Cricetulus griseus: one gene and its partner. Each later gene encodes a partner of the first gene's protein in a complex. Links are inferred from orthologs where the notes say so. Each region holds a gene or a part of one and is shown on either strand. Other genes may lie near its edges. The genes, in order: Coq7 and Coq4.

Evidence for each region.
Region 2: Coq7 (region 1) and Coq4 share a complex: the UniProt entries of both Homo sapiens proteins name them as parts of the multi-subunit COQ enzyme complex. The link is inferred for Cricetulus griseus from reciprocal best matches to the Homo sapiens genes COQ7 and COQ4.

What each region holds. Positions count from the first base shown.
Region 1 is NC_048596.1:82,083,077-82,086,886, reverse strand, and holds part of Coq7 (5-demethoxyubiquinone hydroxylase, mitochondrial), read right to left. Parts: intron 2,763-3,810; coding exon 2,587-2,762; intron 1,092-2,586; coding exon 977-1,091; intron 1-976. UniProt on the Homo sapiens protein: Catalyzes the hydroxylation of the 5-methoxy-2-methyl-3-(all-trans-polyprenyl)benzoquinone at the C6 position and participates in the biosynthesis of ubiquinone.
Region 2 is NC_048599.1:141,442,026-141,446,610, forward strand, and holds the start of Coq4 (ubiquinone biosynthesis protein COQ4 homolog, mitochondrial), read left to right. Parts: upstream 1-1,582; 5' UTR 1,583-1,666; coding exon 1,667-1,736; intron 1,737-1,816; coding exon 1,817-1,948; intron 1,949-3,235; coding exon 3,236-3,332; intron 3,333-3,802; coding exon 3,803-3,905; intron 3,906-4,585. Other genes in the region: mitochondrial mRNA pseudouridine synthase TRUB2, read right to left, coding at 882-990. UniProt on the Homo sapiens protein: Lyase that catalyzes the C1-decarboxylation of 4-hydroxy-3-methoxy-5-(all-trans-decaprenyl)benzoic acid into 2-methoxy-6-(all-trans-decaprenyl)phenol during ubiquinone biosynthesis.

The DNA of each region.
Region 1 (3,810 bases):
TCAGGACCAGCTCTCCTGATGCAGTGTCCAGAGAGGGGCAGGGTGAGCTATCCCCAGGCCAGCAAAGGGCAAGACTGGCTCAGCAAGGCCCTCGGATTTCAACACACATGGTTTCTATGGCCCCACATCTGGGGATGTTTAATATGTTTAATATTGGATGTCACCCAATATCTACCCTCTAGATGTCAGTGGTAACTGCTAAGCATAACTATTGAACATTTAGATACTCCCATGAATGCTCTGCAACAGTCACTCCATATTGAGAAGCAGTTTGAGCTCGTTATTAGATGCCAGTCACAAAGTTCTTTTTGAAAGTATTTTTCTGTTTTATTTGGTTGGTTTGATTTTTTGAGACAAGGCCTCACTATGAAACCCAAGTTAACCTGGAACTTACTGTGTATCCAGGGCTGGCTCGTAACCTCCACCCCCTACCTTTGCCACCTGCGTGCTGAGGTTACAGGTATGCACCACCAGGCAGGCTCAATGAGCCTTGGCCCTTCTGCTAGGAGCTGAGAGTGCTAAACTAGGTTCTTTGTTCTTCCTTTTTTTTTTTTTTTCCTTTGGGGTCGGGGCTCAGTCTGTGTAGCCCAAGCTGTCCTGGAACGTGCTTGCCCTGTAGACCAGGCTGGCCTTGAACACAAGAGATCTGCCTGTCTCTGCCTCCTGAGTGCTGGGATTAAAGGGGTAAGTGACCATGCCCAGCACTCAAGCTGTTCTCAGGTTAACATCACCAGGAGACATCATCTGGCTATGACTATATTATCTAGCTTCCCTCTGTGTGTATCATACTCTCTATTTATGAAAGTGATGAATCTATCTTAGTCATATAAGCAAAAACAGTTCAATCAGCTTCAATTTAAGTTTAGGAAAACACTAAGTAAATAAAAAAGGTTGGATGAGGGCATGATAAGAGTTACAGAGGCATGAATAATCAACCCGTCACCAACAGCCAAGTGGCTCCTGGACAGACACTTACCCAGTGCAAAGCCTGCCACATTCCACAAGGGCATCAGAATTGTAGGTCGAACCCTGAACGCAACCATCAGCTCGTTGAACTTTTTCAAATGGTCCTTCTCTTGATCCCACATTTTCTGGAAAAAGAAAATCAAAAAAACTAAAAAACAAAACAGAAACCCAAAACAAAAAGAGGCAAGCATTACAGGGGCCTCTTGATATACCCTGAGGACTTGCTACGTACGGCTGAGCACACAGGAGGCAATAAGGAAATGGTGTAATGATGGGAACTCGAGTCACCCATCCCTTATGTATCCATAAGACAAAGGCAAAGCACAGAAAAATCTCTCAAAAAAGAAAAGAGCCTGCAAGGCAAAGGAAGAACTGAAGCTAGATCTCAGACATAGCTAAGAGTTCCACTGCCACACCTCCAGACCCACACACACGTCAGTGACCAAGCTTCACATTTGTGTACAAGATGTTGACCCAGTTCAGAATTGGGAGGGCAAAAAGTCAGATGTGATGTAATTTCCTTCTAGACTTGACACAAAGGATGGGGACAGAAGGACAAGAGCAGCTAAGGTAGGACAGTCAGTGATAGTGTAAGACAGACAGTTGATGGTGAGATGCCATCAACATGGCTTTGGAGGCTACTCCTGCCATCCACACTATGCCTTATTAAGGCAGATGGATTATCCCTGAGGCTCATAGCACAGCCAGCTTGCAGTGAGTCCTCTGGAACCCAGGCAGGTTCTGAGCCATCAGTTCAAGCAACCACAGATGAAAACAGTGGAAAAGAACTGTGTCCTAAGAACACACAGACTGTTCTCACTATGAAATAGAACCCCAAATGTGTGGTATTCTCTTGGCATGGGGGACTCTCAGTAGCCTTGTCATGCTTCAAGGCAGAGGTGCAGGGGCTATCTGCAGATGTACACCATCTTATGCCTGGAATGAGCTCTGGGGACAGGGATGTCTGTGGGGAATCTGATGGGACAACATGCTAAGCTACCTCATGGTAGGCAGGGTGGCAATAGTTCCATATGAGCTTATTCCCCAACCAAACCCAATGAGTTAGAGGTCTTACCAGGCTAATTTGCACATAGGAAAATGGAAACCTAAAGGTCATGTGACCTCTTCAAGGAGGCAGAAGGTGAGAGCTGGAAAGGAAACCTGGATCTTTGGGTCTGTAAAACTCTCTCTCTCTGGCACTCTGTGCTAAGACAAACCTACAAAAACCTGGCACATGGAACATTCCCCCAGTGAAGGGATTTTCAGCCTTTGATGCCACAAAACATTCACACCACAAACACAATTTCCACACCCAATTTCTTTCTCTCTTTTACATTTCCTTTCTATCCATTCTTTCTTTCTGACCCGAGACTTCCTACGTAGACCAGGCTGGCCTCAAACTCACAGAGAGCTAGCTGCCTCTACCTCCCAAGTACTGGGACTAAAAGCATGAAGCACCACACCCAGCCATATCCAATTTATATCTGTGCTTTTACATAAACAGAATATGCACTCTGTTTCCCTGCACCTCCCTTTAGAACAGACAGGCAAGTGATTCCTACAGGCTTCAGATACATTGCCAGTGCAATAGACCAGGTTGAGACTTAGGGAAGAACCCACCTGAATGACAGGGCCAACACTGGACCGGCCCAGCACAGCCATTTGCCCTGCATAAATGCGGTTTGCTCCATATTCACCAGCGTGATCCACCCGGATTATTCGATCCACAGTTGCCCGGTTAATGTTGTCTAAGGTCATTCCTGAACTGTGAAACCTGACATTGCCTCTTCCATAGGCTGCAATGAAAATGCAAGTAACAGTCCTTCATTATCCACACAGAATATTGATGGTCTTTTTTATTCTAAAAAAAAATTACGTGTGTGTGTGTGTGTGTGTGTGTGTGTGTGTGTGTGTGTGTGTGTGTGTGTGTGTTGATGTGCACGTGGCAGTCAGAGGACAACTTGCAGGGACCAGTTCTCTCCCTCTTCCATGTGGGGCCCAGGGACAGAATGCTTACAAGCATAATCAGGCTCTTATGCTTGGCAGCAAGCACTTTTATGAACTGAGCCATCTTCTGTCTCCTTTTGCAAACAGAATGAAAGACATGTTAGAACCAAGACCATAAACAAGCTAGATATGTCTACCAATGCATTCTTTGTCATCTGCAATGCTCAAACCCAAAAGATTTCACCTAAAAACTGGGGTTTCTGGCTTCACTTTACACATATGGCCACCTGGAAAGGTCGAAGCCTGTCCTCACCAGGCAGCTCACGAGACAGCTGCTTTGGGAAAGGCTCTCCCCTCCCAAGCTGTACAGCAGAAACTCATGGAGCACATCCAAAGTCATGATGCTCTTCCCCAGTCTCCCTGGGAAGAAGGCCCTTGCTGGTAGTCTGAAAAAGTTCAGGGTGCAAAGTCTGGCAGCCCAAGTGGGGACTTAGAAGTTCTTTTAATACTCCAGTTTCATGGACAGGTGACTTGAGACCCAGCCTGACAGCTTAGGTTTGACCTCACAAACTAAACTCTTTAAATATAAGGTATGTTCACAGGTCCCATAGAAACCACAGGTCCTCTGGCTTGTCACTCTAGCTGCCACCTAAGTTGGCATTACTTAAAGTGCCACAGGCTCTTTGTGCACTATGACTACCAGGTCTAGAAAGCAGGTGAAAAGGTTCATCTGGGACACATCTTGGGCTCTTCCATTAAGAAGGCCTGAGGTCTTCAGACAAAAGGCCACGGGTGAGTCAGTCATATATGAGTCAGAGTCCTGAACATGAACTCTGCTATCAAGTAGAATTTTAAATGTTGTACTTTTATTATGGTGCTGGAGGTCAAGTCCAGGGC
Region 2 (4,585 bases), on another chromosome or scaffold:
GCACTCAGGAGACAAAGACAGTTGGATCTCTGAATTCGAGGCCAGCCTGGTCCATAGAGCAAGTTCCAGGACAGTCAGGGCTACACAGAGAAACCCTGTCTCGAGAAAACAAACAAACAATAAACACAAGAGTCCTTTAAGAAAGCCTGGGCTGGAACCATAGCTCAGTTGATGGGATGTTTGCACAACACGTAAGATGCCCCGGGTTCCAGCCCCAGCAGGTGGTACACTGGTGTAGTCTAAACCCTAGCAAGTGAAGGCTGAAGCAGCAAAAAGTTCAAGACTATCCTCAGCTTATATAGCAAATTTGAGCCTACATGTGAGTTGTTTAAAAAACAAAAGGGCCGCGCACGCCTTTAATCCCAGCACTCAGGAGGCAGAAGCAGGCGGATCCCTGTGAGTTCAAGAGCAGCCTGGTCTACAAGAGCTAGTTCCAGGACAGCCTCCAAAGCCACAGAGAAACCCTGTTTCGAAAAACCAAAAATAAATAAACAAATAAATAAATAACAAAAGGGGGAACAAAGAAAAAGTGGGGTTTGAAACTCGGTGTGGTGATGCATGCCTGTGAACACAGCATTTGCCAGGTGGAGACAGGAGCGTCAGAATTCTTAAATCCTTACTGACTTCAAGGTCGGATTAATTAATTACTCGAGATCCGGTCTCAAAAAGCCAAGAAAAATTTTCAAAGAGTAACCGTGCGAAAACAACAGTACGGAATGCGTTTCTCTAACAGAAAATAGCGGAGAGCGGGGAGTACCGAAATGTATACAACAGAAAACCAGGATGTGGCTGTAACCAAGCGAGGGTGTCACGTGACTTTGTTCTGCAGGAACTCCGGATGGAAGTAATGCAGAACTGTGGGTCCGCGTCCAAGCACTCGCCTTTCAGCAGCTGCAGCTCCACGGTCTCCCGCGCGTGCAGCCATTTCATGCCGGGAGGTTTATAGACCGCGAAGAGGCCCTGCAGGCGAGCCAGGCCCGAAGACCCCATGGCTGGAACTCAGCAGCACCGCATGATACAGGATCTGGGCTGCAAACGGAAGTGCCGCATGGTCCTGTCCCAAATGTGGTCCCTACTGTAAGTCGCTGCCATGTTTCCTCAGCCGGAAGAGGTTCTCATCTTATTGTCCTCCGGGGGGAAACATGCGGTGGAGAAGGAAATAGGGCCGAATGTTGAACAGCATAGTTCTCTATTATCTTCTTTCGGGAATTCCTTTCAGGAGTTTTTGTTTTTTGTTTTTTTTTTCTCATGTATCCCAGGCTGCTCTCGAGCTTGCTAGATTGCCGAAAGTTCCCGATTTTCCAGTCTCTCTTTCCCAAATGCTGGAGTGACAGGTGTAATTCACACCCGGCTTTGTTTTTGAGGCGGGGTCTCAAGTAGCCCCGGCTGGTTTCAAATGTACTAAATAGCAAGGACCTTGAGCTGATCCTCCGGCCTCCAGCTTGCAAGCGCTGGGTTGACAGGCATGCGCTATCGGTAACGCCTAGCTCACAGCGAAGTCTTACGACAGTGGCAGACAAATCCTGTCTTTCCTTCCCACGCCCGCGTCCATATCACATTTCCGATCAAAACGCCACAGCGGGTGCAGCCCGGTGGAGTCTTTTGACTTCTCCGGCCTCCGTCGTGCCAGCGGAGCCCCGCCCACCCACCGCGGACATCCGCTGCCATGGTGACCCTGCTGCTTCGCTCCCTGCGTCCCCACCGCAGTCTCCCGCTCCGTCTGCGGCTGGTTGTAGGTGAGCAGCTCTGACCCGGGCGTTCGCGGCGACTGAAGGAACCCGGCGCCTCTCACCAGTACCCCTTTCCTGCCCCACAGATGTACCCCTCAGGGCCGGGAGCCATGGCCCCCGCCTGCTGTACCCGGGCCACATCCCCACCACCTCGCTGCAAAAGATGTTGCTGGCCGCAGGCTCGGCGGGAATGGCACTCTACAACCCCTATCGCCACGGTAAAGCCGTTCGCTCCCCGCCCTCGAAAGCCGGGGCCGGCAATGACCTCTGTCAAAGCCTTGGTTTCCTGACCGGAGAGTCAGGCAGTCTCGGGCATCAAAACCTGGCTCCACCTATCTCATAGTCCCCAGGAACGTTTATGATAACCGGGTGCCTGGTTCTAGCCAAAGTCACTGTAGTGAATCTTTAGGGCAGAGGGAAAAGAGGTGACGGAAGTGTGGAATCTACAGGTCTTCATTTTTGCAATTCTAGGGAGACTCTGTCATCCATGCATATTAATCTCTGGACTGAATGGCTTGCAGGTACACACCACATTATAACATTCTCACTAGGTAGTAAACTTGGTAAGGTCAAGGACCGTGGTCTTAAGCATTTTCTTTGCTGAGTCGGTTCAAGACCAGCTTGAGCTATATAACCAGCCATTGTCAAAAAAAAAAAAAAAAAAAAAAAAAAAAAAAAAAAAAAGAAATGGGAGAGGAAGAAGACCTGTGGAGTTGTTTAGATAGGATCACATATAGAGTGACTGTACCTAGACTTAAAACTAGCAACAATTTTTCAAAATGGTTGTTTTGTTGAAATGAGGTCTCATGTAGACTAGGCTAGCCTGCAACTCACTACTTAGGTTAGGATGACTTTGAATTCCAGATTGTCCTGCCTCCTAACCCTGTGAATGCTGGAATTACAGGTATGTGCTGCCATACCCAGTTTATGTGGTGCTGGGACTCAGACTCAGGGCTTTGAGTGTGCTAAGCAAGCACTCCATCAGCTTAGTTACATCAGCTCTTCATCACCATTTAATACCAAATTTGGCCTGTACTAATAGTGGAAACATGATAATCTATTTTGATAATGGGATATGAAAATGATTCACACACTGTTTCTCAAAGCCTCCATCTTCTAGTAGATTAATGATATTAAGAATAGCCGGGCGGTGGTGGTTCACACCTTTAATCCCACCACTTGGGAGGCAGAGGCAGGCAGGTCTCTGTGAGTTTGAGACCAGCCTGGTCTACAAGAGCTAGTTCCAGGACAGCCTCCAAAGCCACAGAGAAACCCTGTCTTGAAAAAAACAAACAAACAAACAAACAAAAAATGATGTTAAGAGTAACAGCTAGCTGCCACGTGGTGGCACACACCTTTAACCTAGCACTTAGGAGGCAGAGGCAGGAAGATCGCTGAGTGATTGAGGCAAGTGAGTCCCAGGATAGCCTGTACTGAAAAGACTAACTGTCTCAAAAAAACAAAAAGATCCTATCCTCCATCTGTGCCCATTTCTGTCCTTTCAGACATGGTTGCAGTTCTAGGGGAGACCACAGGATACTGCACCCTGAAATTCCTCAGGGACCAGATGAAGAAGGATCCAGAGGGTGCCCAGATCCTCCAGTAGGTCCAAACTTTGCCTTGACATTTGGCAGGAGTCCCATGGGTGGATGCACTGCCTCAGCATTGCTCAGTACCAGGAGCACATGTGTGTATGTAGGCTAGATCCCCTGGCTTGTACAATATGTTGTCTTAGCCCAGTGTCAGCCTCAAGACTCCCCTTGCATTAAGCTCTCTGTGTTAGCTGTACCCCTCCAAATATCTCTCACTATCCCCTCCCTGCAATGTCACTTGTGAGTACCCTTATCACATCTGCGGCCCTTCTCCTCTGACTAGATCATGACTTTGAAGGCATCAGCTCAGCCCTGGTTTGTGATGGTCTCCACAGTCCCCAATACTACAGTGCTCCATTTGGTCTTGTGGCTATGTGGATGTCCTGTGTCCCTTTGCCCACCCCAGCTTCCTCTATGTGGCTCTTTCACTAGCCTTGGCTGACACACTTCCAGTCCGACCTCCTGCATTCTGTCTTTCAGAGAGCGTCCCCGGATCTCACTGTCTACTCTTGACCTAAGGAAGCTTCAGAGCCTGCCTGAAGGCTCTCTGGGCCGTGAGTATCTCCGCTTCCTGGATATGAATGTGAGTTTCCAGCCTCTGTACACCTAGCAGTTACCAACACGGGCAGAGGAGTGGCATGGGGATGATAGCTTAGGGCTTTTTCAGTCATTTTTCTATGGAATGAGCAGATGGACTGGGAATGTCATTCCAAATACTGGCACTAGCTGAAGGTTATTAACTTCCTGTTGCATGCCAGTTGCCAGGCTGGTACATGAGCTGGCTGGATCCTCCCAGTGACCCTGTCAAGTATGTTCTATTGTTATCCTCTTGCAAGAGATGAGGGCACAGGCACAGCACAGTGAAACAACTTGATAACTTCACAGCTAGTACCACTCAGAGCACTGTTCAACCCCAGAGTACTCTCTAAATCACTGCACTGTATCCCCCTGCTGCTCTAGAGTATAGCCAGTGTGGCACTCTCCAGCACCAGACAAGGCAAATGGTGGGAGGAAAGGGGGTTCCCAACTATTGAAGGACTTACCACTTGGCATCTGCCTCCATCATTCCATGCAAGCCAGGACCCTGTCCTCGTGGAACTTGTGCTATTATTAGAGAGGCCATTAATAAAGTAGTTTTAAAAATTCAAATGAATACCAGGTGGTGGTGGGTGGTGGTGGGTGGTGGTGGGTGGTGGTGGGTGGTGGTGGGTGGTGGTGGTGGTGGGGTGGTGGTGCACGCCTTTGATCCCAGCACTCGGGAGG